Oryctolagus cuniculus: one gene and its partners. The protein of the gene in region 5 interacts with the protein of the main gene of each other region in a biochemical or structural test. Links are inferred from orthologs where the notes say so. Each region holds a gene or a part of one and is shown on either strand. Other genes may lie near its edges.

Region 1 (4,064 bases), on a different chromosome or scaffold from region 5:
TCTGTGCTATTTATACCAAAATAAAGAAATTTCTAACAAGAAGTTAAAAAAGAACAACTGTATCAAGATAAACACCCATACTGAAATTAGGCAGAAAAATCTTCAAAACTGTTTACTTTAAATGCTCACTACTTCAATTAATCTTTAAATCTGTAACTTAATACAAAAAATTCCTCAGCTTCCAAAGATTTGCCTGTGAACTGAAGCACATTACAAAACAGTTTTTACAACATAGTTCATTAAAAACACCTCGGGGATGTCAAATTGCTGGAAGTTGCTTACTATTCCTCAACAAAGCTTCTACAACATTCACCAACTATTATATATTAATATTACACTACCTAGTCAAGCTATGTTCTGGTTCATTCCAACCCAAATCAGTAGAAAATTCTTAGTAAATTCAGCAATAACTACAGAGTAGCATCACACATTGTTACTTCCTTCACATAGTTTAAAACAAAATAAAACCAAACCCCAGGGACATACACCCTACACAAAGGTTTTCAAAAAGTTCATAGAAAATGCATATTATGAAAAAACTATGCATGGATTAAAAAAAAGTTTTTTGCAGCAGAATAAACTTGTCTTTTAATTCCATTTTCCACAACTCTTAAAAGTACCTTGATACTATGTTTCCTTTGCAAGAAATTGAAAAGAGCTGGCTTCAGTCAACAGACATCTATCTGTACAGTATCACCACATGACATGACTTCTAAGTATTTCTAAATATATTACCCACATAGGATTCTGTAAAGTTAAAACTGCACAACAGGGAAAGTGCTACCTTTAGACTGAAATGAAAAACAATAAGAATAGATCAGTTCTTCTACAGAATAAGACAAACTGACAGAAGCAGGAAGAGACACAGCACAGATTTTCCATGGCTGAAAGTTACATCCAAGTCTCACTCAAGCATTTCCATTTCAGTAACTGGAATTGGGAGCAAGCAAAGTTCCAAAGGAAATCAAACAGCATCCTCATTCTTAAAACATAAAACTTTTATTTTCCACCCAATAATCTTGATTTTGCCCTTCCAACTACACACATCTCAAATTCCAAACTACCCAAAACAAGCACCTCACTTCCAAAAAGTAACAACGCCAAAATCTTTCAGGTTAACAAACTGGTTTTAAGTTTCAGACACAACACTTACACTCCCTAGGTAGCAAAACTTTTCCAAAAGCATGTGGTTTTGAAGCCACAGAACCAAAACTGCACTTCAGTGACCATTTTAATATGACAAACACCATCAATCTAAGTAGGATCACAATTATTGCTTTTTCCATGGCTCTCCTTTCCCAAGTTAGAACATTTCTTGCCGGCTGAGTTTGGACCCATTTTCCTGTTAAAACGTCCTGTTCAGACAACACGTACAAACTGGCTATAACTTAGTTGAAGATTACTTGCTCGTTCTTTTTAAATGCACATAAATGACACGTGTAAAACTGAAGGTGCAGAAATAAAAAAGCATGTTTGTGAGAGACAGAGCATATGTATTTATTTGTAAAGGAATGCAACAATCAATGCAGTGTGCGAGGAGGGGAAAAAAAAAAGGCCCACAGATAATCAACTTGTGAAAACACAGCATGTCTTCAACATGCATGTGACAAGAATCTGGAAGCAACAGCACAAGCCTCCTGAAACAGACTGCTGTATAAAGCTTCGCATTCCCCAGCCCCGTGTCAGAGAACTCCTTCCAGGAAGGTCCGGCTCGTTCGGACTCTGGATGTAGGCATATGAGGCTGAAACCCCGAGACCCTGCGTGGGTTTCACCTGACGACGGAAACTGACAAGAGATGCTGGCGGGAAAACCCTCCTGGCCAAGTCTCTGCCTTCAGGCTCCCCTCCCCCACTTCTCCGCTCCGACACCGAAAAGAATGCAAAGAAAAAAAGTACAGAACTCAGTCAGCGAAGGGCTCGACCAAAGCGAATCGCTGCGCCGACCCCAGCCTGCGGGAGCCAGGGAGGCGGCCGCGGGGGCCCCCGTGAGCGGGGCGGCCTAAAGCCTCGGCAAGGCCGGCGCGCGGGCCCGGCCGCAGAGCAACTCCCCTTCCACACAATGGTGGGTGCTCTCGCCCCTCGGCGCTACCTGGGAGCCGAGGATGGCGTCCGTAGGGTCAGGGCCTGCGGCGGGGGCGCTTAGAGGCCAGGAAGGAAGGGGCCTAGGGATGGCTGTGGCAACGGCCTCGAGGCAAGAAGGGGGGAGGGGGCTGGAAGCGGGGCGAGGAAAAGGTGGGGGGGGTCCCGGGATCAGGGAGCCAGCCGAGCGGCGGGCTGGCGGCCGCGGTGAAGCGAGGAAGCCGGCGAAGGCCCAAGGGGTGGGGCAGGGCCTTGCGTGAGGGCCAGGGCCGCGGACGGGGGGCCCCCCGAGGTGGGGTGAGGGTCAGATTGCGGCCTCACCTAAAGTCCTTGTCGCTGGATGTCATTTTTTCCAGCAAGTTGGAAATGTGGTACGAGGCGCTCGCCATGTTGACGGCCCCGATCCCGCCCGCCGGCGCCGCTGGTGCTGCTGCCCGCTGCCGCCGCCGCCGCCGCCGCCGCCGCTCGGGCTCCTCCTCCCGCTCGCGGCGGCTCCCGCTTCCAGGGTCGCAGCGCGACGCCGACGCTGACTAGGGAGGCGCCTCGGCAGGCTGCCTCCGCGGCGAGGGTGGGCCCGTCCCGGGGGAAGCAGAGGCTGCGGGGCTGGGCTAACGACCGCGCTGCTGGCGGGAGAGCGGACTCATGGGCGGCACGGCGCACAGCAGGGCTTCTCCCGGGACCCAGACACTTCCACTCGGGCCGTCTAGCTCCCACTCCCTCCGCACTCGATCGCTAGGGCAGGAGGCCAAAACCCGCCTCCTTCGCTCCGGGGGCGGGGCGACAGGCGGAGGACGCTACGGAAAGCCGAAGTCAGAGTTCACGGAGGCCTCCCCGCGCACGCTTGAGACGCTTGTTAAAGGGCAATTCTGTTGGCTAAGGCCGATGTCAGTCTTCTCGTGGACCGCCTCCCAGGAGGCATGACAACGACTGAAGGGGGCTATTCTCGCGAGATTTCAGGGTGACGGTTAAAGGACGAGGGACGGAAGCTACAAACGGGCCTTAATCTGAAAATACTTGATTTTCTTATCTGTATGACATTAAGATAAAAAGTTCACTAATTTAAAGGCGTGTAGTGCCTGGAGATTATGGTGATTAAGGGGACAGCCTGGAGACCATAAAGAATTCTAAGAGGGAGTTTTCGTTTTGAATCGGACGCGTGGCCTGTTGCCTTTAACCACCAGACTGAAGCTGCCACGTGAAAACCACAAGTCCCAGAATTCAACGTGCGCTACGCTGAGTCGGGATGTGATTGGCTGCAGGAACTTGTAGCGTTCTCATTGGCTCCTGTGGGAGGAGTGAATGCTGGGATTTGCAGGCTGGCGCGGGAGGCGTGCTGGGGACGACCTTTCAATCACCGCTCCGTTTCCGCCTCGGGTTCGTACTGTGAACACACGCTCTTCGTTGGCGACGTTTGCCGAGCTAGGCGGCTGCGGTTCGGACAGGCGCATTGCGGTCCGGTTGGTGTCCCTGGCAGAGACCCAGTGGCGGCCTCTTGCACGAATCCTTGCCTCTGTAGAGGCATTTGGGCCTCCCGACTTCGCTGGTTAACGCACTCCTTCCGGGAGTGCAGAGCGCGCTCTCTAATGGCGGCCCAATTTTAGTAAAAGACCAGTGGGCCTGCGCGTTCTGTCCGAAATAGCTAAAGGACCATCTTCTGTACGTCAGCTTTCGTGACTTGATCTTTCAGCTGAGTATTTCGTCGCTGCCTCAGACGTACAAGCACAACCATCGGAGATGAGCTATCCGAGCCATTGTATACCATCCAAGTGTTTCATCTGCCTCATATTAGGAGTTTTCCAGATAATATTTGCCAGCTAGGGGTCCACACGTAAAAATCTGAGTTTGAGGTGGTGGGTGATTTAGCTGGCAGGCCTTTTAAAAAAGAGGAAAAATTAACCTTGGTCAGAGATTTTGTTTAAAGACAACAACAGACCTTTAGAAAGGGCATCCTACTTCCAAAACATCAAATCCGGTTTGGCATTTCT
Region 2 (3,968 bases), on a different chromosome or scaffold from region 5:
TGGGGTTCCTGGCTTCTGCCTAGCCTAGCATGACCCAGTCCTGGTAGCTTGGAAAGTGAACCACCAGCAGATGGTGATTCTCTGAATGAACCACCAACAGATGAAAGATCAATCTCTCTCTCTCTCTCTTTCTCTCCCTGTAACTCTGCCTTTCAAATACATAAAATAAATCTTAGATGACAAAAAAAAAGATGTCCATATCCTCTATTTACAGTGCTCAGGTTCAATGCCTGGCTCTAGTTCCTGACTTCTGCTTCCCACCAACTTGCACCCTGAGAAGAAATGGCAATGGCTGAAGTAACTGGGTTCCAGTCACCTGGGTAAAAGATCTTGCTTATGTTCCCAGGTCCTAGTTTCAGCACCAGTCAATTCCCAGCATTGGCAGGCATTTGGGCAGCAAACCAGGAATGGGAACTCTCTTTCTCTCAAAGTACTCAAAACACAAGAATATAAATGAAAATATGCTATAAATTCGCTTCACTCTATTTTTATGATGAAAACAAAATAAGAACAAAACAGATAAATATCTGCATTTTACAGATCAATTTTATAATACATAATCTGAAATGAGCACTAGAGACTTTTGCTTAAGCTATAATTTACCTTACAGTAACTTTATGCCCAAATGGTATATAAAAACTACAATATTTATTAAGTTTGCACATACATGTAACCATAAATATTTTCTTGTTTTGGAATACAATGCATTCATTCTAAATTCTAAATTCTGCTAAAAATGGTTAAATTGATTTAGTAAGAAAATTAACATTACTCCAACTCACAAGCCTAGCTCTTTGCCTGGTAATAAGAAAACATGCTAGTGAACTTCATTAGTGCACTTTAGTCAACATTTCTTTCTCACTTTCTGATAGTTTCTCACACCTACTTTTAAAAAAACTCAAACATTTGAAACCTTTAATTAGTACCAAAACATTTAATTCTGAGTATACCACACCTATTTATTCACATAAAGTAGGAAGTTGCTGCATATTGACAATGGTATTTCTGGGCCTGAATTCTACAATCAGGTGAATTTTCTTAAACTTTAAGAATTCAGAGGGATCCCCAAGTACTCTGGGACTAATATTCTTAATTAAGACAATCGTATTAAGGTAGTTAAGTCTTTCCTGACGGCAAACTGCACTTCAAAATAAAATGATTAAAAAAATAAACATGCAAATGACCCCTTTCCCCTCACACGATGTTCATGAATCTGAGAAGGGAAAATTAAGATCTTTCGCCAGTTTTACTTTTCACAATCTTCCATCAATTGCTGTCTACCTTGACGTCTGCCTGTTACTGTAGCGACATGAGCAAGTATGTCAAGTTTTTCTGTTACAACAGTACAACTTAATTGCTTGCTATTGGCTATCTGAATCAGATATGACATCTAAAGTCATACCCTATCTACATACTCAACCCGCAAGCGTGGATCTCAACGTAACGTCAAAAAAGGAAAGTTTCTGAACAAACACTGTTTGCTGTCACTAAAATCGATAGAGTAGAACGCCTCGGTGGGTGACTATAATCATCCTTCTGGGCTTCCACAGCTCAGAAATGGAAAATCAACGTCCAGTTTGTTCTCGCTGGCTCGCTTCCTTTGGACCCCTAGGAGAGGCGAGGCAATTCCTGGCTGCATGCGAGTTAGTGAAGTGCTTAGGAAGCTCGCGGGATGAAAGATGCTATCATCACACTCGAGGTGATTAGTGAATGAGCACTGGGCATTTCGCGGAACCGCTGTCACTGCACCAGGACGGCCTGTGGCAGAACCCTTCCTGGGAGAAAGGAGGGAGACGAGGCAGCCCTCTTCGCACCCCAACAGCTAGCCAAACCAGCTCATTTTTAAGCCGCAGAGAGACCACACGTGAAAAGTTACACACACACGCCCCACACAAGGAAGACTTCCAGCCTCCATCCGCGTAGGGCTGGAGTCCCGGGACCCTGCAGCGGAGCGGAGCGCCGAGGGTCGGGCCTACACCCCAGGAACGTGGGGAGCCGCCGGGGCGCCGCCGGGGCCCCCGCGCAAGCCGACGCCCGCGGGGCGGCTGGGGGCGCAGCTCTCGGGCGGGGGCGCGGCGCCGGCCCGGGGCGCCGAGCGCGGGGAACGGCCCGGGAGGGCGGCCGCGGCGCCCCGTGGCCGGGCAGGCTCGAGCCCCGCGGCCGGCGGGCGTGGGGGAGGGGAGGCCGGGCCTGCGGCCTGTTGGGGGAGTTCAGCCCGGGCCTCGCGTGCGGCTCTCGGCCGGGCCCCCGGCCCCGGGGTCCCGGACGCCGCCAAGAGACTCACCGGAAAGGCCCGGATCCGCATCTTGGTGTCCTTCCGGCTGCCCGTGCCTTTGCTCAGATTCGACATGGTGCTCGTCCCCTCCCCGGCGGCGGCTTCAGGTCGCTCTCCGAGGCGCCGGTGTCACATTTAAGGCGGGCGGGCAGGCGGGGGGCGACGCTGGGGGCGGCGGCGGCGCGGCCCCCGGGCTGGGCTGGGCAGCTGGCCGGCCCCTGGGCGGCCGCGGCGGCGGCGGCGCGGGCTCCGGCGACGCGGGCTCGGCTGAGGGGCTGCGCTGGCGCGGCGGCTCCGCGGGATGCCCCTCACGCCCGGGTCGGCTGCCTTTATCGCGCTCCTCCGCGATGGCGGCGGCGGCGGCGACGGACAAACATCTCACTGCGCAGGCCGAACGTCCTCCTCCTCCTCCTTCTCCTCCTCCGCCTCAGCGAGACGAGATCCGGCCCAGAGGGTGGAGGGGGGAGGAGGGAGGGAGGAGAGCCGGAGAGTGGAGAGGTTGGGGGGAGGGGGGTGGGAGGACGGGAGGGGGAGGCGGGCGGCCGCAGGGACGCTCGGATCTCGCGAGAGCGCAGCGAGCGCGCTGCCCTCGGTGGGGCGGGGCGAAGCCCGGGAGCGGGAGGGCGCGCCGAGAGGGGAGGAGGGGGAAAGGGAGTTGGGAGAGTGGGCGGGGCCAGCGGGGCGGGGAGGTGGGGAAGAGGGCGGGGCGGAGGGCGGGAAGAGTAAGCTGCCCTTTTGAAAGAGGAGCGCCGGAGACCGGATTCCGGGAGGAGGTGGTTGCTGATTGGTGGAGGGTGAGGCGGGGGAGGGGGTTCTTAGTCACGTGGGCGCAGTGGGCGGGGGAAGTTCCGAGGGCCGGAGCTGCGCTCTGGTGGGGTGGGCGGTCCCGCCTGGGCCGGGTGGTGTGGGCAGGAGGTTAGTGCCTGGGAGGAGCGTGGGGTGCGAGATGGGTCACTACGACTGAGAACTGGTTCCCGTGTTTTTCTAGGGCATGTAGACTAGGGATGGGTACTTGAGCGCGAGCCAGAACTTGAGCGTCTGTGCAGGTGTTACCTGCCGCGAGTCCCGCGGCTTGCCCGGGGGTTCAGGCAGAGCGTGCGCGCTGCGGCGCTCTGGACCGAGGGTGGCCAAGTTAGCCCTCCTTAAACTGCACAAGCCCCGGGCCTCTTTATTCACCGACAGTCTGGGGACTGGGGGCCCCGGGGGGAGGGGGGTCCAGTGCTTATTGATGTCAAAACCTGCCTTTTTCCTTACCGCTGTCATGACCTGACAACTTCCTTAATAGGGCGCAGTAGTTTGGTAAATGGTGTTAAATGCAATGTTAGCGATCTGCTCTAACCTGCCAAGTGGATCATTGTAGCTTTCCCTGAACGTGGTCGGTTTTCAAGGCCAAGCTTACCGTTTCTAACAGCTTGCTGTGTATTTGGAAGGATTTTTTTTTTTTTTGGTTTTTGGCTTTTGTTTTCTGCTTTTTGTCGTTGTGTAATCAAAACCTCCGGTTTGAGTCACCTGCTTTGCTTTTTGATCTATTAAGAATTGGACTTCCTGGCATCCCTACTTGCCCAGTTGCTGTTATAGTTGAGTTTCCAACTGCAAGAGAATATCTGTGTTCCTACCAAGGCTTGTGCTCTTCCAGTTCTGTGCATTTGGAAGCTGCGACTTGTATCCAATTTTGTAGCAAACTTAAGTAAAC
Region 3 (4,137 bases), on a different chromosome or scaffold from region 5:
AAGTCACTCATTCATTCAAAACAGTAACTGAGGTACCAGCACAACCAAGTTCTGAGTTACTATGAGGATTCAAAAATAAATAAGGAGCATCCCCGCCTTCAATGAGTTCACGTGCAATGTAAGGGAAATAAGGCTGTTTTGCTGATCAAGACTAAGTTAGAGTTAGAAAGGAATACCCCATCAGTGGAGAGGAGTACTCGAGCCCTGATCCCTAAGGACACCCAGCAGTCGGGCTCAGGCGTGTGTCCCGAGATCCTCTGATGCCACATAGCCTGGGGCAGGCTTGGGGGACAGGACGTGCCTACAGGGACCTGAGCACAAAGCTCTCAGGCAGAGTGGATTGTATACACTGATGAAAAACCTAGCGTATCTCAAGTTGGTTTGTTTTCTGGAAAAAAAAAATTTTAAACGGTACCAAGGGAAACAAAGCTTAACTTTTTCTTTTTAAAAGCAGACAATTCAGCCATCTTTCAAGCTTAATGAGCACTCTCCTGAAACCTCCAAAAATGGGCATAATAGAGTTAAAGCAAGTCTTGTGTTTGCGTGCTTTGGAATTTGAAATGCGATGCAACTATTTCAACTTACTATGGAAAGCAACACACAGGACTTTGAAGCAAAAATCTTTCTAATACAAAGAAAAACCTCATTCCCAAACTTTTTATAAAAATAAATGCTTAGTTCGACTTTTTCAACAGATCATCATAGATTATCCTACGTGACATAAATGCTCCAGGACTTCAGAAAGCCGGGTCCATTTTGAGGGACACTCCAAAATTAACTGCGAAACTTTAAACTGCACACACTTCTGCAAGGCAGGAACTCATGCTAGAAGCTCCTGGCTTAAAGTAAGAATGAATTTAGTTCCTCTTCTCCAATCTGTTAAGTGCATTTACAAAAACACTGTGACCCTTTACTCCACTCATAACTTTGGACTATTTTAATGCTACTGCAGCAAAGAACAATTACACAGAGTAAATACATACTTGAGTAACTTGAATGCAATTCAGTATTTGCGCACTTACTCTAACCCCTATTACGAACTGCAGGCAGCAACAGTGACCCAATCAGCAAAGAGAATCGTCTTTGGCACAGCCAGCTCAAGAAGGGACACCCTCAAGTTTGGGGCTTCATCTTAAGGAACGCCAAGCATTTCTCTTTCTCAATCATACGTCTACACTGCACAGCGCCACACAGGTGATTGGAAAGCCGGAGTTTTCGGGCTAACCTGGGCCTTGGGCACCGAAGCGCACGACCCGCGTGCCTGGCGGACCCCAAATCCCCGCGGCCGGGGCTCCCTCCCGGCTCGGGGCGCGCGCTCGTGCCGGGGCCGGGGGCGCGCCGAGGCCAGGGCGCAGGGCCTGGGGCCGAGTCGAGAGCGCTCGGCGGGCGCCGAGGGGCTCCGTCCGGTTCCGCCGCCGCCCGGGCATCCCTGCGCCGTCTGCGCCGGCCCGCTCCCCCGAGAGAACGGAGCAAAGGGGAGACTATTACCCAATAATAGCGCCCTGCACGGCCGCAACAAAGCGAGCGGGGCACCCGAGAGCCAGGGAGACCGGCTCGGCCGCTCCGGAGGCGCGCCGGAGAGCATGCCAGCGACGCCCGAGGGAGAAGCGCGAGCCGGAAGGCGGGGGAGGGAGAGAGGGCCGAAGCGCGGCCGTCCCGCGAGGGTCGCCGCACGAGGCGAGGCGAGGCGCGGCGCGGACGCCGGCCCAGCCTCCGGGAGGCGAGCCCGGCGCCACGCAGGCCGCCGCCTCCGGGCGCGATGAATCGGGCTTTTTCCCGGTGCGTAGTCCGGGCCTGGCCGCCCCGGAGCCGCGGCCCGGCCCGGCCAGGCAGGCCCGAGCCAGCCGGGGTGACTCAGGGCGGGCCCCGCTCGCCCCTCGCCCGCCCCCGGCGTCCTCCGCCCCGCGAGGGCCCCCGGCCCGGCCGCCATTCCGCCCGGCCGCGGGTCGGCGGCTCAGGCCTCGCCCGCCGCCTGCGCTCGGCCGCCGCGGCCCCAGTCACTGCGACACCGCGGCTCGAGGCCGGGCCTGCGCCGCCGCCTCCGTTGGGCCGCCGACACTCACCCGCATTTCCAAACGCCCGAAAGGCTCCCGCGACGTCTCCGCCGGGTCGCTGGGTCCCGGTGAAACCCCCCCCGTCCCGCCAAGGTCTGGCCGCGTCCCTCAGCCACCGGGGCTGCCCCGCCTGGAGCTGCGTGCGACACGGCGCCCGCCTCCTCCTCCTCCTCCCCTGCCTGCCCGCCCGCCCGGCCCTCCTCCTCCTCCCGCCGCCGCCGCCGCCGCCTGCACCACGCAACCTCCGCCCTCTCGCCTTCCCTGCGCGGCTCCCCGCCCTCCCGGCCTCACCGGCTCCGGCGACCGCGGGGGAGACGCTGTTGGGGGAGGGCCGGAACGCACCGCCATCGGCGTCCGGGGCGGGGGAGCCGGGAAACCGTCGCCGCCATCGCCCCACCAGCCTGAGGCGCGGGAGGGGCCCGGCCGCCTCCCGCCCGCCGGGGTCCCCCCCGCTCGCTTGGGTTGTTTCTACCTGCAGTCTCGTGGCCCCTGGCCCCCCCAAACGCCCGAGCCGCCCCCCACCGGGCGCACCGGATCCTCCACCAGGTTTCACAGCCCGCCTCGCCTGGGGGCCGCCTCCGAGGGAGACCCGGCTTCCCGCCACTCGGGACCTCGCGAGCGGGGCTGACCTGGGGGCTGGAGGGGCGGCGGGGGGCTCCGGCCTCTGGAGACGCTGCGCGAAGCAGCGGGAGGAGAGGGGCTCCCCGCGCCCCTGCCCCTCCCCGTGCGCACACACTCCCCCAGAGCTGACATGGAACCCGACTACCCCCAGCCACGTGCCTCCGGGGACCGGGAGCGCAACCAGCAGCGGTGTCCCCGACTGGCGTTTAAAGTCAGCGGGGGCAGGTGGTCCCGAAAATCCGCGCGGACTCCCGCGACACGTGCGCGCCTCGCTCTCCCCGCGGTGCACCTGCCCGCCTTCGGAAAGAGCGCCCGAAAGCCTGAGCCAGGCTGGCTGCATGTCTTTCTTAAAAAGTCTTTTTCTAAAATACACCCAACCAGGCTCCCCTCCTCAAACCCTTTAACCGACGCGCTTTGGGCAAATTTTGACGAAGATTCGCTTTTCCTTAGTCTTTGTAAGCACACATCAAGAACAGAATTGAAGGTTTTGATGACATGCTTGGCATGAGATGTGACTATAAAATACTGTTTTCACGTGTCGTCAGTAGTAGTTAATCTCACTCCTTAGGAATAATCTTAGGATTGGGTGTTTGGAATATTAAGCAAAATTTGGCAGCACCAGTAACAGAAAGCATTGACTTACCTCACACCTAGTGAGATTGCGAGATGCCTAATTCCACTGAATGAGTAAGGAAGGGTTTCCAATTAGCCTGTCGTCTGGGCAGAAGTTAGGATGGAGGCAGTTTCCTGTTTTCGCCAAACCAAAACATTGCAGAGATTGTAGAAGCACTTTGGGGCAGAAGTGGTCAGCCAGAGCAGAAGGCCACCCCCAGAGTCCACACGGTTCCCCTAGGAACACCGGGTTCTCTTAGAAGAAAAATCCCTCTCTGAAATGGGGGTCTTTTGTCAGTCTCTGTTAAGCATCCTTAGTTTGTAAATAAACTTGTCACCAAAGTATGGAATCCTTAATTTGTGCAGGGGTTGAAAAATTCTTGGTCTGTACACTTCTAAGTAACCTAGTCAAACGAATCGTTAGGTGTATGTAGCCACTTTTTATATGGCTTTCCTGTAATATCCTTGGTTCCTCTTACTGGGACTTGTGTGTTCCACAGACAACTTATCTCCGAATTCCTTAACCTGTCTTCTCCATCTCTTTCAATGGGGTTTCCTTGTCTGTGACTTCCCACAGATGAAGGTAATGGCTAAATGGGTCAACTTTCCCTTTATTGTTTACCAGAAAACCTTCTGTTTTGTGGGTTTCAAAAAAAAAAGTTTTATTTATTGGAAAGCCAGAGTGACAGAGATGGGGAGACAGAGAGCGATCGATTAATTATTCATGTACTGGTTTACTCTGCAAATGCCAGCAATAGCTGGACTGGGCCAGGCAGAAGCCAGGAGTCGGGGATTAAATCTGGCTCGCTCATGTTGGTGGTAGGGACTCAAGTCCTTGAGCCATCACTTA
Region 4 (4,254 bases), on a different chromosome or scaffold from region 5:
GGCAGAGTGCCAGTTCTGAGTCCTAGGATCTCTGCTTCTGATCCAGCTTCCTCCTAATGCATCCTGGGAGGCAGCCTAAGTGCCTGGGAGGCTTAAGTGCTTGGGCTCTTTCCACCCATGGAGAGACCTGGATGGACTTCTAGGTTCCTGGCTTTGGCCTGGCCCAGCATAGTTGTTGTGGGCATTTGGGGAGTGAACCAGCACAAGAAAGATCTCTGTGTCTCTGTCTCTGTTGCCATTTAAGTAGATAAAAATAAACACGTAAGAAAAAAAGGAGCCCTGGATAGACAGGGTAGTCTCAGAGAAATTACATTCCCTTTAGGTCCCTTTCCGATGGGGGTGGCAGGGCCCCAAGCACTGGGGCCATCATCTGCTGCCTCCCAAGATGCAGGAGCAGGAGGCTGGGTCAGAAACTGAGTAGCTAGGACTCCAGGACGGCATGTGAGCATCCCAAGCAGTGGCTTATCCTTTTGCATCACAATTCCTGCCCCCATATCCTACCATTTTTAGAAGATCGTATTTAGACAAATCAGTCCTTTAGAGCAGAGACACATACCCCATTAGAAGCCTGCTAGGACTGTCATGTTTAATGAGAACTTGGCATGCATTCTGTACAGCCTCACTAAAGACATAAAAGGGAGGGAATAAAAAAAAAAAAAGCTCCTAGGTTAGGAGACTTTGCTTGGAGTACAGGGATGGTGAATGGCTTCCGTAGCTGAGCAAAGAAAGGGCCTTACACCTGCTATGTGGGATAGGCCCAGAAAGGGATCTGGAGAGATCAGGGATGAACTTTACTTTGATGTTTGGTTCTGCCCTTGTTCGCAGGCCTGACACTGCAAATCCCTTACCTCATTGTTAAGCTATTGTGAGACCCTATAGTTGTTTTGGGTATGGCCACTCCCTCCCTCTATTAATCCCATGTATGGAAAAAGAAAATCTGAGTGTGACGGTGTTAAAAACTAGAAAATAAACCTTATATTTGTACCCTCTGGCTTAATCCAGGTCCACATAAATTTTTTGCATGATGATGAATTGGCAAGACAGATTTCCTCTGGAATATTTGGCAGAACTGTGGTCTTTGATGTGTTCTGCACATGAATCAGCTTCTTTGTAACCTGTTACCTTAAGAATTTTAGGAATTTCCCATATTGGTTTTCCATATGTGCCATAGCCACTGCTTTTCCAAGGCAAGTTACAGAGCTGGCTTATCAGGGAGGTGATCTCCCTTCATTCCTTGTTGGCTCATTGAAACGCAGTGATCCCCAGGAAGCAGTCCCCAGAGGGTGGTGCCCCCGCCCATGCCCTGTGTTCTGTGTTCAAGAGGTGACTGCTTTCCAATTTCCTCCCAGGTTGGCTGGTTCCTCTGGCTGATGGCATGTTGAAGTACATGGGCCAGCGGCAGCGAGGGCATCCATTCCAGAGGGGGCCACTTTAGAGGCCAGGCCGCCAGCACCATGGGCCAGTGTGTCACCAAGTGCAAGAATCCCTCATCAACCTTGGGCAGCAAGAATGGAGACCGGGACTCCAGCAGCAAATCACACAGCAGGCGAAGTGCAGGCCACCGTGAGGAACAGGTGCCACCTTGTGGCAAGCCAGGTGGGGATATCCTCGTCAATGGGACCAAGAAGGCGGAGGCTGCCACTGAGGTCTGCCAGTTGCCAACGTCCTCGGGAGATGCTGGGAGGGAGTCCAAGTCCAATGCTGAAGAGTCTTCCTTGCAGAGGTTGGAAGAACTGTTCAGGCGCTACAAGGACGAGCGGGAGGATGCAATTTTGGAAGAAGGCATGGAACGCTTTTGCAATGACCTATGTGTCGACCCCACGGAATTTCGAGTGCTGCTCTTGGCTTGGAAGTTCCAGGCTGCTACCATGTGCAAATTCACCAGGTTAGTTACAAATACTTCATGTTACCAGGTGAGCAGAGGAGGAAACGGAGCAATGTTGTGCAGGAGTGCTCAGCTAGGATAACTGGGTCAGCTGCATGGGGTTTGGGGAAGGGAAAATCCTTGTGCTCTGACCAGTTTCTCAAAAGCAGATGTTTTGAGCTAAGTTGTGTTCCTGATCCAGAGAAGGCCTCCCCCTGCCACCTCCCTCCCAAGACTCCTCTGAGGGTTTAAAAAAGTAAGTGCCTGACTCTGTAGCAGACCCACTCAATAGGAATCTTGAGGTACTTGAGAATTCACTGTCCGTCCTGTGGCAGGTGCTGTGTGTGCCAGTACAGTGAGAACCTCCAGGGATGTGCCTCTGCCACTCCGTGAGCCCAGTTGTCCCTTCTCATCCTTACCGTATTGCCCTCAGCCAGACCTGTATGAAACAAGGACAGGTGGCCCAGTTATCAAGCAGCAGTTTCATGTCGTTGTGGTCTTATATCCCTGTAGAAGTTGCTTGTGGGTGAAGACGTGACAGGGTCACCCCAAGGGGTGGTTTGCTGAGCGCAGGTTATGAGACCTGGCCAAGCCATTTCTAGTCTATATGCCCCCAGGTAGCTTACCCTCCAGACCTGGACTCCCTAATCTTGGTGGGTACAGCAGTCCCAGAGAGGAAACCGTGCTGTCAGCTGGAAGTGTTACAAAGATGTTAAATATGTGTACGCAAGTTTTGTTATTTAATAGCACAGTTTTTATCTCTGGTGGCAGACTTAAATTTTATCCTGCCTCTCGGGCTCCAGAAGTGTCTCTTGGCTGTCACCAGAAAGATACCAAAACAACCCAGAGAGAATCGAAAGGGAGGCAGGAAGGCTTCTCCATCGAGGAGAAAGAGGCTGCAACCTCATCACCAGTGCAGGGCAGCAGACCCAGCAGGAGGCAGGGGACTAGCTGCCTGCCGTGTGCTTGGCAGTGTTGGAAACACTCGGTACTCGTGCTAACGTGTTTACCCCTCACCAGAACCCTGCAAGGTGAGGTGTAACATTTACTCACCACTTGGCAGATGAGGAAGGAGGACTACTTAGTGCAGGAGCTGGCATTTGATCCAGGCCATCCTGCCTCAATGCCATACTCTTGATTACTATACTCTGTTGCCCTCGGTAAATAATATCGGTTATAACTAATTTGTGCCTTCTTTCTGTTGCAGGAAGGAGTTTTTCGATGGCTGCAAGGCAATAAGTGCAGACAGCATTGACGGGATCTGTGCGCGGTTCCCTAGCCTCTTAACAGAAGCCAAACAGGAGGATAAATTCAAGGATCTCTACCGGTTTACATTTCAGTTTGGCCTGGACTCTGAAGAAGGGCAGCGGTCACTGCATCGGGAAATAGCCATTGCCCTGTGGAAACTAGTCTTCACTCAAAACAACCCTCCAGTATTGGACCAGTGGCTAAACTTCCTAACAGAGAACCCCTCGGGGATCAAGGGCATCTCCCGGGACACTTGGAACATGTTCCTTAACTTCACTCAGGTGATTGGCCCCGACCTCAGCAACTACAGTGAAGATGAGGCCTGGCCAAGTCTCTTTGATACCTTTGTGGAGTGGGAAATGGAGCGAAGGAAAAGAGAAGGGGAAGGGAGAGGTGCACTCAGCTCAGGGCCCGAGGGCTTGTGTCCCGAGGAGCAGACTTAGTGGCTCTGTCCCAGGAGCAGCAGCAAAGAGCTGCCTGCTGTCCTGCAGCCAACCAAGGAATTGGACCTTTCTGGAAATTACTGAAGATCCGGATATTTTCTACTTTACACCTTTCTCTGCCTTGTATCTGAAAGGGCTCTAAAATGCTGTATCATGTTTTAGGCACTTTCTTCATTTTTTGGTTATTTTGGTTATTTCTTTTTTTTGGGGGGGGTAATCCCCCAAAATATTTGAACCTGGCTACATGTTGTGTATCTTTTTTTGAAGCCTTCAGATAGAATAAGTCTGCCATTTCTTGCACAAATTGGATGATTTTTTTTTTTTTTTTTGGTGGGGGCCAGTATAGAGCCGGGTGGGGGGAATGGGACTGTTCGGTTGAATTAACATTACAAAATGATACAGTGCCAGATCTCAGTTTTGCATACTGTTTTTCAGGGCAGGTCTGTACTGTGTGTAGTGCTGTTTACATGGTTGAATTTAGGTTGTAATAATTATTTTTAAAGATTTACACAGATTTTGAGTAGCAGTGTTAACTGTTAACCACATTGCATTAATTTCCAGACAAGTTTAGAGCTCTTGGGGAGCTGAGGCCAGTCAAGAGCGTTTGTGTAGTCTGGTGATAACTTCCCTTTTAAGCTAATTTATCCAAAACCCTTATTTCCCTCACTTCTTGCTCATTCCTTCTTTGACCTACTGCAT
Region 5 (4,047 bases):
TGCGGTACCCCCAGTGCCCCCCGTGACCACACACCTTCCACTTCCCCCCTACCCCTCGCGTCCCATTGAAGGAAGAGGCAGAGGCCATGCAGTAACATTCCCCTTTAATAGCCTGGTGGGACCTCTGGTGGTGGAGGGGTGGGTTGCCTGGACCCAGCGACCCGGGCCCCTTGCCCACCCACCTCGCAGCCCAGAGTGGGGGGCTGGATAGCACCCAGCGTGGAGGAGGGGGCTAGACAAGCCAATTCATTTCCCATCGCTGAGTGGGTCGGGGGAGGCAGCGCCGACCATAATCACGTGGTGGTTAAAAAAAAATAACTAAGGGCAGGTGGCAGGGAGGGGACGCATGGCCAAGGTAGGGGATTCCCCCACTGGCTGCCCCCCCAACCTGTGGCCCCCCAATAAATATCTGCAGGGGACGCCAGGACTGGTGGCCCTGGCGGGGGCAGGTATACACCGACTCTATTTCAGGCAGCGCTCGAAGTAGGTGGAGCCGATGTAGCCACCTCGCATGGAGCGCTGCACATTCTGCTCAAACAGCCGCCGGTTGTTCTGCAGGACCTCGGCGGCCTCCTTGTTCAGTGGGTCCTCAGGGTTGGGCTCCTGTGGCCAGTACAGGTGGGGGTCAACGGGCCAGAGAGGTGGAAGGCCATTCTCCCCACCAGCCCCAAATGTCCACCCTACTCACCAAGAAAAGATACTGCAGGCCATAAATTATGGAGTTTATCGTAAGGACTGGCTTCCAGTCCTCTCTGTGGGCAGAGAGCATCAGGGTCAGGAGCTGGTGAGTGGGAGGCTGTCACAGGCCCCAGTGGTACTGCACAGGTCAGGACCGGGGCATGGGTGAGTGAGCATGTGAGACCAGGACAAGCCAGGGAGGAAGCCACGGTCAGGCTATTGGGACTGTGACTTGGGAATGAAAGGGATGGGACAGATGTAGTGACCACAAAGCCGAGAGGGGCCGGGCGGGGAGGGGGCAGCAGAGGGTCAGTGCCCTCACCTGAGGATGTTGAGGCAGACGTTGCCCTCGAGGTCAATGTTGGGGTGATAGACCATCGTCTCACACTTCACCTTGGGGGGGTCATGTGGGTAACCCTGGCCCACCTAGCTCCGAGAAAAGAGAGGGGAGGGGGGTAGGTGCCTGGCAGGGCCTCAGTGCCTGCCCCTCCAGTCCACGGAGCCACCTCTGCCCACCTGGGACTCACCTTAAAACTGAATACAAACTTCCCGCTCTTGTAGAAGCCCTGGGAAGGGAGAGAAGGAAGGAAGGAGTCAGGTCCCGCGAGCAGAGCGGGTCTCCTGCCTGTCAGTGGGGCCATCCTCGCCCTGCTCCTGTGAGTCTGGCCACGTGTGCTCTCACCTCATCAGGACAGATGACCAGCTTGAAATTGAGGAGGTCGTCTGGGTCTGAGAAGCTGATGTCACACGTCTTGGGCAAGTTCAGCTCGTTTATGTCTGGGTTTGAACAGCGGAGACAGGGACAGAGGGAGAGAGGAGAGAGATGGGCACTCGGAGCAGGTGTCGGCCTCCTCCCGGCCTGAGTTCCAGCTTCCTGCTCTCCCCAGGGGGGCTCTTCCCGACACACATCTCCAGTTGTGGCTGCTTCCCCGCTTCCTGGCCCCGCGTCCACCCAACCCAGCTCCCAGGCTAACACCCCTCACCCTGCGTGTCCGATGCTCCCAGACCCCAACTCCTCAACCACGACCTCCACTGTCTGGTACCTACTTGTCTGCTCAAACTCAAGGACCCCGGCCCCTGACACGCTAAGTCGTTTCCTCACACCGACCCCAAGTCCCTCCACTCCCACCCCTCCCCTCTGCCTGTCATTCCAAACTCAGATTCCTATCTGAACCCTCGGATTCTCCAGCCCCAGTCCTCCCCTCCGCCACCTGACCCCCGGGTGCTGGGTCCCTAATACCAGACCCCAGGCCTCCCGAATGCCCCAGTCGCTCCCTCGCTCACACGCTCTCCCCGGCCCCTCATCTGATTCGCGCCCAGTGGCGGCATTACCCGGCCACCCGACCCTCAAGCCCTGACCTCTGACCACCCCCCCACGCAACTGCGGCCCCCATTTCTGATCTTCGGCGACTTCATGACCCCGCTCTTGACCCCGTATCACCCCACCCTGCGCTCTGACTTCCGACTCCGAGCCCCCACCCTCACTTCCAGACCCCCTACCCTTCTGAATCCGCAGCTGCGCCGCCGACGCCTTCTTGCTGCTGCCCTTGGTGCCGCCCGCCGACTCCTCCTCCTTCTTCTGCTGCTTCAGCGAGAACAGCTTGATCATCCTGCCGCCGCCGCCGCCTCTGCCGCCGCCGCCGCGGGGCCCGGGACCCCGGCCACCCGGCCCCCGCCGCCTCCCGCGCCGCTTCCGCTCCTTTGACCCGCTGCCGCGGCCTCCTCTGCAGCTGCTGCCGCCCGCCCGGCCTGCCGCGCCGCTCCGCGCCCACCGCGCGGCCCGCGTCGGCTCCCGTAGTCCGGCTCCGGCCTGGCCCCGGGCCTCGGTTTCGCTCGGCGACGTTCGGGCGGACTCGGCTGCTCTCGGCCCCGCCCCTCCTCCCCCGGCTGCTCCCTCCTCCCCCTGGCCGGCTCCGGTCTCCTGAGGCCCAGCTGCGTCTGCGGACGCGAGGGCTGGGGGCCCCGCCGCTCGTCCGTTTACTTCGCCAGGGGCTGTGGCGCGGGGTGGAAGGAGGAGGCGGCAGCCACGGGGGCGGCGGCGAAGGACCGGAGGATCGGCCTCCGCGGCAGCAGCGACTTCGGCGCGGAGGTCGGCAACGGCCTCGGGCGCCCCGCCGCTTCGGCTGTTTCCGTCGCCCGCCGGCTTCGGCTTTGCAGCCTGGCCTGCGCTCTGCGCTTGCGCAGCCGCCGCAGACGCGTTGCTCAGCGATGGGGTTTGGGGTTCGTGCTCTTTCGGCGGGCCTCGGGTGTTTCCGTCTCGGGAGGACGATTCGGTGGTTCTGCGGTCACTTCCGGGGACCCTCGCTGGACCGGGAAGGAAGAAGTGTTGGCCGCCATCTTTGAGTGGGTCAGATGGGGGGCCGCCTCCCCCACGGTGTGTGCATCCGATGTTGCACTCGTGCTGAGCGCGGCGGGGGTGAGTCCGACAAGGTCATTGTCCCCAGCGGTCACGGCGGGCCGGAGGCTAGGCGGAGCCAGGGGTTTTGCTCAGAGGGTGCGGGATCGAGGACCCTCACTGTCCGGTTGCAAACCCAGAGATCTCCGCTCTCGGAGACTGAGGTAAACTAACAGTAAAACATTTTTGTGCCACAGAGTGGTAAGCACCTTGGAGGTCTGAAGTCCGGGTTGGACGTTGGGGACGGGACGTAGCACGGCAGCCTTGCCTCGCTCCTCCGCCGTGCGGGCGGCGTGAGCCTCCCCTCCAGCCACAGCCCCGCGTGCTTCGGAAGGCGGGAGGGGAGGCGCTGGGCGGATCGGTGGCTTCGGTCACCACAGGAACGGGCGTGCGGTGGACTGGCCGAGGCTCCCGGGGCACTGCCCATCGGCCACCGTGCGCGCGCTGTCGTTGCCCACGAACGCCCACGTCGCATCGTGCTCAGGTGGAGGCCATGGTGGCGTTGGGCAGGTGTGACCCTAGCCCTTCCCCGCCTTTTGACAAATGCAAAGTCACCCCGACGCCCTCTGCTCCTCAGCGCCTCTTTGGATTCAGCCTGTCGTCCACCCTCTCTCCTCATAGCGGGAGAGTGGGCCCCATCCCCTCCCTGCCAGCGCCTTCCTGCACCCGCCTTGACCCCTGTCCAGCCTGGTCCTGGGCCTCTCTAGGTACCCTTGGAACTTTTGGCCCCAGGAACTGATCACAACCGTGTCTCCACTGCTGGTCTTCCTTTTGGCCCTTGTGTTCGATGGTCCATCTCGGACCTGTCTCCCATAGACACCCCCACCCCCCAGCCTTGTAGTTATCTCAGCCTTAGACCCCAGCATCCCTTCTTTCCGTTACTCTTGAGGGCTGACAGCTGGAAAGATCGGGGCTGGGAGTCTGCTAGGAAGCCTCAAACAGCTTGATATTGGTGCCAGCATAACTTACCACCC
Region 6 (4,275 bases), on a different chromosome or scaffold from region 5:
TAACACCTTACACAGCACATAAAAATTATATTTCAATTCTAAGCTAATCTCCTGCTGCTCTACATTATAGATCATTGAATTACCACATAAAAATGGTAAAGGAAGGGCCCTGTGATGTGGCCAGGTGGGTTAACCCACCACCTGGGAGGCCAGCACCCCATATGGACACCAGTTCCTGTCCAGGTCTTTCCACTTCTGATCCAGCTTCCTGCTAATGCATCTGGGAAAGCAGTGGAGGATGGCCCAAGTGCTTGGGCCCCTGCACCCATGCAGGAGACCCAGATGGAGTTCCAGATTCTTGGCTTTCCTGCCCATTGCAGCCATTTGAAGAGTGAAGCAGCTGACAAAAGATCTGGATATGGATCTCCAGTCCTCTCTACCTTCCTCCCTCTTTAACTCTGCCTTTCAGATAAATAAATCTTTTTTAAAAATGGTAAAGGGAGAGTCTACAGACTGAGAAGAAGGTCTCTAACATTAAAGAGAGAATTATAGTTGTATCTTTTTTTTTTTTTTTTTGACAGGCAGAGTAGACAGTGAGAGAGAGAGACAGAGAGTAAGGTCTTCCTTTTGCGGCTGGTTCACCCTCCAATGGCCGCCGCACCGCGCTGATCTGATGGCAGGAGCCAGGTGCTTCTCCTGGTCTCCCATGGGGTGCAGGGCCCAAGCACCTGGGCCATCCTCCACTGCACTCCCTGGCCACAGCAGAGAGCTGGCCTGGAAGAGGGGCAACCGGGACAGAATCCGGCGCCCCGACCGGGACTCGAACCCGGTGTGCCGGCGCCGCAAGGCGGAGGATTAGCCTAGTGAGCCGCGGCGCCGGCCTATAGTTGTATCTTAAAACAAAACAAATACACACAAAAAAATTAAGGCTCTCCAACTTTTATACAGCTTGTCGTCCTCTGGTCTCATTTGCTTTCCAAGCTTCTTGAAAACTGAAGACATCACATATTCTCTTTGTTCACCTTCACATTTTCATCCTGGCTTTATGAATGGGATAATTTCCACCTGATGTTCCAAAAAGACACCTCCATTGCTCAATTCATTTCAAGATCTTTTTTTTTTTTTCAAAAAAATTCTCTTATCTTTGAGCAAACCAAACATTTCAACAAATATCAACCCTTCATTGATATTATCTTCATGAGGGTTATAGTCATCTTTGCTGTGTTCCCATATTATGTAAGACAGCCTTTTAACCTACGTGCCACAACAAATACACCACCCTAAACGTTGCTTCAGATTGTGCTGCCAAAGAATGTCTTCCACAGTATGTGCGCTAGATGGTCCAAGACTTAGAATTTATCGTATAAGTAAGGCCACGCAACACGGGGAAATAGTTAACCGGGAGACTAAAAAAAACAACTCCAGTGTGAAGCACCTGGGCTTTGCTCAGGCTCTGCTTCTCCCGCAGATAGAAGGAGAAGGTCCAGGGAACCGCTCCAGTCCCAGAGGACCGGGGCGACTCAGAGAGCGAGCTCGGGTCAGCTGGGGAATAAAGCACGAGTTGGCAGAGCAGGGAGGCGCCGGGGGCGCGCTGCATTGTGGGACTCGTTTCCACAGTTACCCACGTGCACCCAACCCAACCGCGGCCCGGCGCGGCCGGGACTACAAGTCCCAGAATTCCGCGGACTGCCTTTCCCCTTCACACCCGGCTACTGGAACCAGACCCTAAGGAAACCCCTAAAGCGCCCTTCCCGCATGCCAGGGAGAGGTCGCGCCCGTCGGGCGCTGCGCGAGGCCTCCGGGCAAGCTCTCCCTGCAGGCGAGCGGGTCGTGAGCCATCAGCCTCCACACCTGACAGCCAGAAATTAGACAACTGCGTCACAGACTGCCAAACCCACGGATCGCCAGGGACCCCGACACCTCCCCTGCGCAAAACCCCCACCCAGACTCCGGGGCCCGACCTCTCCGGCTCCCGCCACGGAAAACCCGCAGCCCGCGCCTCTGCCCCGCCTCCCAATCCCGCAGCCGGAGCCCGCGCCAGCGCTGACCTCGCTTCCCGCCGCTCGCGGGAACCGCCGCCAGAGCAAACCTCGGGACACCTCCCCCGGCCCCTCCACCTCAGCCCCGCCCCCTCCTCTCGCCGCACGCCGAAGGTCTGGGCTCCCCCCCTTCCAGGGACCCTGCCTCGACCCGGAGAGGCAGCACCTCCCCCAAACACACAGTCCCGCAACCCCCCAGCCCAGAGCCGGACCGAATCTGGACGTGACAGTCCAGCCCCGGCTCCAGCCCCTCCCCGCCTCCCCTTCCTCCCCAACTAGCTCTTCACCCCCGCCTCCTCGCCGGACCCCTGCCCCCATCCTGCCACCCCAAACCATCCCCGGGACCCCCACCGTCCCGACACCGGCACCGGCCGATCACCACCACATCGTCCCCTCCCATCACTCCGGTACCCTGCCACCCTCCCAGGGCCCCTCCCGCCCGCCGGACTCCCCAACTCTTCTATCGCACCCCAAGCCCTCGCAACTACCTCGCTCTCCCGTTACCTCAGCCCTCGCCCCCTGCCCGCCCTCCCGCCCCGCTCGGGTGGCCCCCACTCCCCCGCCCCATTGTTCCCCCACCCCCGCCATCCAGCCCTGCTTCCCATTGTCCCCGCCCCCGCGCTCCCCTCGCACTCACCCGCCTTCCACACGGAGCCGCCCGCACCGCTCAGCCCCTTGGAAATCCTCACCCCTGCGCTCCGCTCGCTCGCTCGCGCCCTCCCCCCCTCTCCCGCCCCGGCCCTGCCCGCTAGCGCCCGCAGCCGCCTCCACCTCCATTCACCCAGGACACTCCGGTCCGGGCCCTTCATCGCACGTCCCGCCCCCCCTTCCCCCAACACTGAAACGGAGCCAGTCCCCACCCCCCTCACCTCCGCCCTCCCCCGGCAGGCCGGCCCCTTCCCCCCACGCCCGCCTCCGCCCCGCGCCGCCCGCAGCGTCACCGCCCGCCCCGGCCCCCGAGGGGAAGGGGTGGCTCCCGGGCAGGGGCTGCCGGCGCGTTTCGGGACGGGAGGCACGGGGCGGGGACTGGCGGGACCCGAGTGGAAAGTGCTGGCAGCGCCAGCCCGCTGGCTCTCCCAAACTCACTGACAGCTGCGGCATCCGAGTGCATTTTCGGGCAGCTCACACCCCGTTCGCCTCCCGGGCTCCCGCGCTCGCCTCGCGGTCCCCCCACCGGCTCACCGCACCTCGGCTGGGAGCTAAGGACCCGCCGCCAAGCACTCCGGGCCCGCCCACCTCGCCTCCTCCATTGGCTGAGCCTAGACCAAGGGACCGCCTCTTCGCGTCTCTGATTTGACAGAAGGAGTGCCGATAGCGCCGGTCTGGAACTGGCAAAGAGGCCCCGCCCCCTGGACTCCAAAGCGATTGGCCCCGGTGTCTGGTCTCCGTAACGCCCCTAGCGGAGGCCACGCTCGGGAGTAGCAGGTTGGACCCGGTTGCCGTCAGTCATCCCCGGGGGTCCGAAAGCGCGTGTAGGGGCGAGGCTGGGGAAATTGGTCCACCTTGACCCTGAAGCCCCGCCCCGTGACGGGCGGGATTGGTGGAGCGGGAGACCAACTGAGAAAGATGGGTCGGCGTCTGAAACAAAGCATGCAAAGTGTTCCCTGAACTGAGAAGGGGAAGCGCAGTTGGGGCAGTTTGTCTCGAGTTGCAGGGAGTAGGGAGGACAGCCCACTCCTGGCGCCTGGCACGACGCGTCCGGCCTTCCCGTCCCCCGTCCCGCACTCCAGAGGGACTCTGCAGGAGCCCGAACTTGGACCGGGACTTCTCTTGCCGGCTTTTTCCTACCACAGAGAACCGGATCAAGCATTGTCGGGTCTTCATTCCGAGCAGACCCTCCGGTGGGAACAAAACGCTGTCTCAGCCCTCTCCACACTTTGGAAAAGCGCTTCTTTCCCAGAGTCTACACCACTCCTTCCCCCTGCGAGTGCCAGCTGGGCTGTCACGAAGGCTTCGAATGCTACAGCATTGTCTGCCACACGCGTCCGCGTGCCCCGGGCAGCATGCCGGAAATCCAGGGCTGGGGTCGCTCGGGCGCGTCGGCGAGTCGCCAGCCCACCCCAGAGCAGCGTCACCGGAGGGCACCCAAGGCGGGACGCGCAGAGGGCGACCACGAAACGAAACAGAGGCAGGCTGTTAGCCGAGGTGAATTCCGCGCCTGGGGTTTCCCACGCCAAGAATTCACACCAGGCTTCCAAATTTCGCCCTGGGTGTTCGGTGTTTGGTGACCAAATTGTCCCACCACCACACGACGATAGCGGAGTAACATTTTGCGACGTGAGCGAAGGATCACCCT
Region 7 (4,091 bases), on a different chromosome or scaffold from region 5:
ATTAAAACCATGTTAAGTATGGGCTGGCATTGTAACACAGTGGGTTACACTAACTCTTGTGGTGATGTCATCCCATGTCAGAGGGCTAGTTTAACTCCTACCTATTTTCCAATCCAGCTAATGGTGGCAGGGCAGTGGAAGATGGCTCAGGTGCTTGGGCTTGGAGTTCTTGCCTCCCAGCTTTAGCCTGGTCTAGACCTGGCTTTTGTGGCCATTTGAGGAGTGAACCAGTAGATGAAAGTTATCTATCTTCCTCTCTCTGTTATTCTGCCTTTCAAATAAATAAATCTTTAAAAAAAAAAAAACCACATAGCTAGTATTTCTATACTGCTCATAGGTACAGAGGCTATCAATATGGCCCTTTTGTGAGATAAATTCAGATAAGTGTACGAGTCAATGACTTTTGACAAGTACATACACCAGCACCCCAACTAATGCACAGTGTATCTATCATCCAGAAAGTTCCTTTGTACATCTTTGCCGTCTTCCCTATTTCTACCCTATCCCAAGCCCCATGTGTTACAGATATGCTGTTCCTTCAGATAAGTTTTACATGGTAAAAAATTTTGTCACATATCAAATTAGTATTACAATGTCCAGTTGTCTCAAAATGCTATATGAATTGTTGGCTTGAATCAATATTCAATAAAAATCATATTAAAAATCATCGCTATATCCTTTAAATCCTTATCCTCTCTTCCTATTAATTTGCTGCAGAATCCGGGTCACACGTCTCGAAGACTTCCTGACAGTTTAGATTTTGCTGTTTGCTGTCCGGTAAATTCCTTGCTACTCAGTCAGCAATCATCTACTATCTCTCTTCCGAGAGGTGAGTTCTGTATAAGTAAAAATTGTGCAGTTAAACTTCACTGCGGGACACAGTGGCTAGCAGAGGTTGAGAAGTGGGGGACGGGGGGGGAAGGAGCTAGAGGCCAATCACAGGTCCCTGAAGAAAATATGCTAGACACTGACAATGCGTTTAAATGCGGGAACACTAACGATAAGATTACCGTTTGGAAGAGCTCAGGAGTGAAACCTGGTCTAGTTCTTCAGAATATTTTTAACGCCAGTTGCAGAATATTCGTTTCATAAAACATTCTCGGTGGTGACTACTAACACCAAGGTGGGGGTGGAAGAGAAAGGCCAGGATACTAAGTTTTGTTTGCAGTAATTCCGGCACAAAGCAGGACTTCTACCTTTTCCTCGGTTAGACAGCAGGAACCCACCGCCCCTGCGGCTAACCTGGGTCAACTAGAGCCACACCCCTTCCGGCAACCCGCGCGCACGCGTCACTTCCGAATATAAGGGATTCGCATCCGGGTCAGGCTGAGCCGCTTGCTCCCTGTGACTGGCGGAGGTGCCGCGCTGTACGCGTTATTTCCTCTCGGCGAGACCGACCCGCAGTGGCCACCGGCGAGGAGCCACCCCTGTCCCAGCGAAGAAAAAAGAGCAGGAGACCTGGGAACGCACGGCCGCCGTGCGGGGCCGAGCCGGGCCAGCCTGACGACTCTGCCCCTCCGCTTGCTGCTGTATTTGGGAACGAAGTGCCAGCGCTGAGGGGCCTCCAGCAGACATTGACCCCCTTCCCCGGCTCCCCTGCCCACCCTGCCAGGGAGGGCGGAAGATGCCGGTGAAGAAGAAGAGAAAATCCTCTGGGGTGGCAGCGGCAATAGCAGAAGACGGAGGCCTCAAAAAGTGTAAAATCTCCAGGTACCACTTCCACCCTTTCCTTCAAGCTTTCCTTCTTCCTCCTTTGCTGGGCAGCTGGAAGAAAGGGAGTCGGGCCCGGCCTCCCGGTCTCGGGCTGGAGAGGGGTGAGGCCCCCTTTTCCAGCCAGGCGGTAGGTGCAGAACACCGGGAGTCCGCGCCGGAACCGACCTCGTGCTCGCTCGTGTGTGTGCCCCGGCGTTCACGGAGAGCCCGGGGCAGTCTCCAGCATTAGGGGGTGCCTGCCCTGGAGGTGGGGGAAACAGATGCATCTGTAAGCTCCGCTCGTTCCCCTGCCCCGCACTCCCTTCATCCCACCCTCAGCTTTTTAATAGACGTGGAAGTAAAGGGTCGCTTTCAGAATTTCTTTGTAGCTTGGAAGAAAAGAGCGTGAGGAATTCTTGGCTTGACAACTGCTTTGGGGACGGTAGGAAGGAACTCTTAGGCTAAAATTGGCCTCCAGATGTAGTATTCGAAGCCCTAACGGAGACCATCTGAGCTGCAGGCCTTTCATATGGTAGGGACCTCATTTTCTGGAAACGTAATGCCTCCGTCTATTCCAAGTCCTCGTGTGCAGGCTTGGAAACACCCAGAATGCTTTTTGTTCTCTAACATTCAGCACAGTGTTAGTTCTTGGTATCAGTATTAGTAATTTGGGAGCTGTTGTACACCATGCTCGGTGAACTGGAGTTACAGCTCTTTGCATGATAGCATATCCTTGGGGCCTCACAGCAACACCGCATGCTGCAAAAAGAAGCATTGCAATTTAGAAATGAGAGGTGGACTGGACGTTGTTGGTTTTTATTTCCTTTGGGAGTCTTTGTATCAATGGTTGACACCTGATGTAACAATGTCAGATGCCACCATTCAAAGAAGACAGTAGCCAGCATTACAAGGAGGAAATAACAGAGCTTCTCTTACAGAGAGATCTGCTGCTTAAAGTGTGAGGTAGGTAACTTAATCCAGTCTTCACCTTCCTTTTCGCCATTGATTGACTTTTTCCTTCATTATTACTGTGTTTTGGCAAAGGAGACCAAGGAGTATTTCTGAGGCCGTTTAATGTGACACAATTTTCTTACACCTCTTGGTCTAGAGAATTTTTATATGAATTTTATATGAAGGCTCCACGAGCTCATATTTTTGTGAAACAAATTAGTTTTTTAGTTACTCTTAATTTGTGACCATCTTGAGTGTATAAAGTGTCAAAATTATTTAAACCAAACATTAGATTAGCTGAGCTGGCAATGTTACTAGAACTCAGGATATACTTTGTCTCTCGATTTTTTTTTATTATGCATACTTCTTTGACATATTACTCAATTTCATTTCTGTATCATTGTGATAGTGTAATTATTTGAATTTCAAGGTACTCTAAAGTGCATGAAATCCTACAGGCCACTTTGGAATTAATCAACTTTTAATGATTTCATCAAAAAGTGTTGAAAATGATTTTGTCTGAGATTAAGTAGCTTTGGCTGAATTATTGAGACTTACATTAACTTTTAGAGTTTTTGTTTTGTTTTGTATTTTTTCTCAGTCTATGGAATTTAGTATACCTGTAGGTCCTATGTCATTTTTATCTTTAAATGTTTATTTTAGCTTAGTAGATGATAAATGAACAATTCTTAATGTATCTTTTTATTTTGAAATATTGGTCAAGTATCTAAATATACTTTGTAAGATTTTGTTTTCAAATGTATACCTGTTATATACAAATATGATTTCCATATGAATCAGTAGCAGAAACAGAATATAGATTTTACACTTTCCCAACTAACAATCCTGCCTCGAGACTTAGGTTGAACTTCTTTGTGTAGTCTTTTGCAATTTTGGGAGATAATTTCAGTTGATATTTTAGAATTTTATAGTGAGCAAAGCAGCATTTGGGGTTGTTATCCATAAATTTTTACATTTAGACTACTGAATTGGAAGTACTTCAGTTTTTTTTCCCTATAATGTCAACGTCTAAAAATATTTTGTTTACTTTGAATTGCGGTAGTTCTTATTGAACTTAGTTTTTCACTAAGAATTGAGACTTAATAAAAATCTTAGGCATTTGTGTGTTTTCTAAGCTATTGCAGATCCCAACCCCCTGCTAGACTAATAAGTGGAGAGGAACATTTTTCAAGCAAGAAGTGCCTGGCTTGGTTTTATGAGTATGCAGGTAATGAAATTAATGTAAGAAGATACCAGTCATATGCTTTAAAAATTTTTTTTGGTTCATTCATTTAACAAATTGTTTATTACAGGCCTGCTATGTCTTAGTGCTGTGCTGGGATCAGAGCAAGGCTGAGGATTGTGGGTAGGCTAGGAATTTGGTGTCGGTTCAGACTGATATTTCTTTAAATATATATTCTGTATTTATTTAGTGGGAGGATGAATGT

What was found.
Region 1: the proteins of UBE2M (region 5) and CAND1 form a complex in vitro, tested with the Homo sapiens proteins (2 studies listed by BioGRID). The link is inferred for Oryctolagus cuniculus from reciprocal best matches to the Homo sapiens genes UBE2M and CAND1.
Region 2: the proteins of UBE2M (region 5) and CUL3 form a complex in vitro, tested with the Homo sapiens proteins (2 studies listed by BioGRID, with this or other methods). The link is inferred for Oryctolagus cuniculus from reciprocal best matches to the Homo sapiens genes UBE2M and CUL3.
Region 3: of the proteins of UBE2M (region 5) and CUL1, one has a biochemical effect on the other in vitro, tested with the Homo sapiens proteins (7 studies listed by BioGRID). The link is inferred for Oryctolagus cuniculus from reciprocal best matches to the Homo sapiens genes UBE2M and CUL1.
Region 4: the proteins of UBE2M (region 5) and DCUN1D3 form a complex in vitro, tested with the Homo sapiens proteins (4 studies listed by BioGRID and IntAct). The link is inferred for Oryctolagus cuniculus from reciprocal best matches to the Homo sapiens genes UBE2M and DCUN1D3.
Region 6: the proteins of UBE2M (region 5) and DCUN1D4 form a complex in vitro, tested with the Homo sapiens proteins (3 studies listed by BioGRID). The link is inferred for Oryctolagus cuniculus from reciprocal best matches to the Homo sapiens genes UBE2M and DCUN1D4.
Region 7: the proteins of UBE2M (region 5) and DCUN1D5 form a complex in vitro, tested with the Homo sapiens proteins (3 studies listed by BioGRID). The link is inferred for Oryctolagus cuniculus from reciprocal best matches to the Homo sapiens genes UBE2M and DCUN1D5.

Annotation. Positions count from the first base shown.
Region 1 is NC_091442.1:69,618,407-69,622,470, reverse strand, and holds the start of CAND1 (cullin-associated NEDD8-dissociated protein 1), read right to left. Parts: upstream 2,801-4,064; 5' UTR 2,469-2,800; coding exon 2,401-2,468; intron 1-2,400. UniProt on the Homo sapiens protein: Key assembly factor of SCF (SKP1-CUL1-F-box protein) E3 ubiquitin ligase complexes that promotes the exchange of the substrate-recognition F-box subunit in SCF complexes, thereby playing a key role in the cellular repertoire of SCF complexes.
Region 2 is NC_091434.1:14,622,870-14,626,837, reverse strand, and holds the start of CUL3 (cullin-3), read right to left. Parts: upstream 2,801-3,968; 5' UTR 2,351-2,800; coding exon 2,285-2,350; intron 1-2,284. UniProt on the Homo sapiens protein: Core component of multiple cullin-RING-based BCR (BTB-CUL3-RBX1) E3 ubiquitin-protein ligase complexes which mediate the ubiquitination and subsequent proteasomal degradation of target proteins.
Region 3 is NC_091434.1:174,882,088-174,886,224, forward strand, and holds the start of CUL1 (cullin-1), read right to left. Parts: upstream 2,801-4,137; 5' UTR 2,684-2,800; intron 2,483-2,683; exon of another isoform or gene 2,346-2,482; intron 2,283-2,345; exon of another isoform or gene 2,064-2,282; intron 1-2,063. UniProt on the Homo sapiens protein: Core component of multiple cullin-RING-based SCF (SKP1-CUL1-F-box protein) E3 ubiquitin-protein ligase complexes, which mediate the ubiquitination of proteins involved in cell cycle progression, signal transduction and transcription.
Region 4 is NC_091450.1:18,308,819-18,313,072, forward strand, and holds the start of DCUN1D3 (DCN1-like protein 3), read left to right. Parts: upstream 1-1,454; coding exon 1,455-1,885; exon of another isoform or gene 1,886-2,293; coding exon of another isoform or gene 2,294-2,303; exon of another isoform or gene 2,304-3,071; coding exon 3,072-3,555; 3' UTR 3,556-4,254. UniProt on the Homo sapiens protein: Contributes to the neddylation of all cullins by transferring NEDD8 from N-terminally acetylated NEDD8-conjugating E2s enzyme to different cullin C-terminal domain-RBX complexes and may play a role in the cell cycle progression by regulating the SCF ubiquitin E3 ligase complex, after UV damage.
Region 5 is NC_091449.1:87,815-91,861, reverse strand, and holds UBE2M (NEDD8-conjugating enzyme Ubc12), read right to left. Parts: upstream 2,801-4,047; 5' UTR 2,288-2,800; coding exon 2,179-2,287; intron 1,456-2,178; coding exon 1,361-1,455; intron 1,245-1,360; coding exon 1,206-1,244; intron 1,105-1,205; coding exon 1,001-1,104; intron 753-1,000; coding exon 689-752; intron 604-688; coding exon 463-603; 3' UTR 88-462; downstream 1-87.
Region 6 is NC_091433.1:42,217,899-42,222,173, reverse strand, and holds the start of DCUN1D4 (DCN1-like protein 4), read right to left. Parts: upstream 2,801-4,275; 5' UTR 2,789-2,800; coding exon 2,617-2,788; intron 2,056-2,616; exon of another isoform or gene 1,989-2,055; intron 1-1,988. UniProt on the Homo sapiens protein: Contributes to the neddylation of all cullins by transferring NEDD8 from N-terminally acetylated NEDD8-conjugating E2s enzyme to different cullin C-terminal domain-RBX complexes which are necessary for the activation of cullin-RING E3 ubiquitin ligases (CRLs).
Region 7 is NC_091432.1:94,775,729-94,779,819, reverse strand, and holds the start of DCUN1D5 (DCN1-like protein 5), read left to right. Parts: upstream 1-1,291; 5' UTR 1,292-1,624; coding exon 1,625-1,710; intron 1,711-2,569; exon of another isoform or gene 2,570-2,655; intron 2,656-3,779; coding exon 3,780-3,871; intron 3,872-4,091. UniProt on the Homo sapiens protein: Contributes to the neddylation of all cullins by transferring NEDD8 from N-terminally acetylated NEDD8-conjugating E2s enzyme to different cullin C-terminal domain-RBX complexes which is necessary for the activation of cullin-RING E3 ubiquitin ligases (CRLs).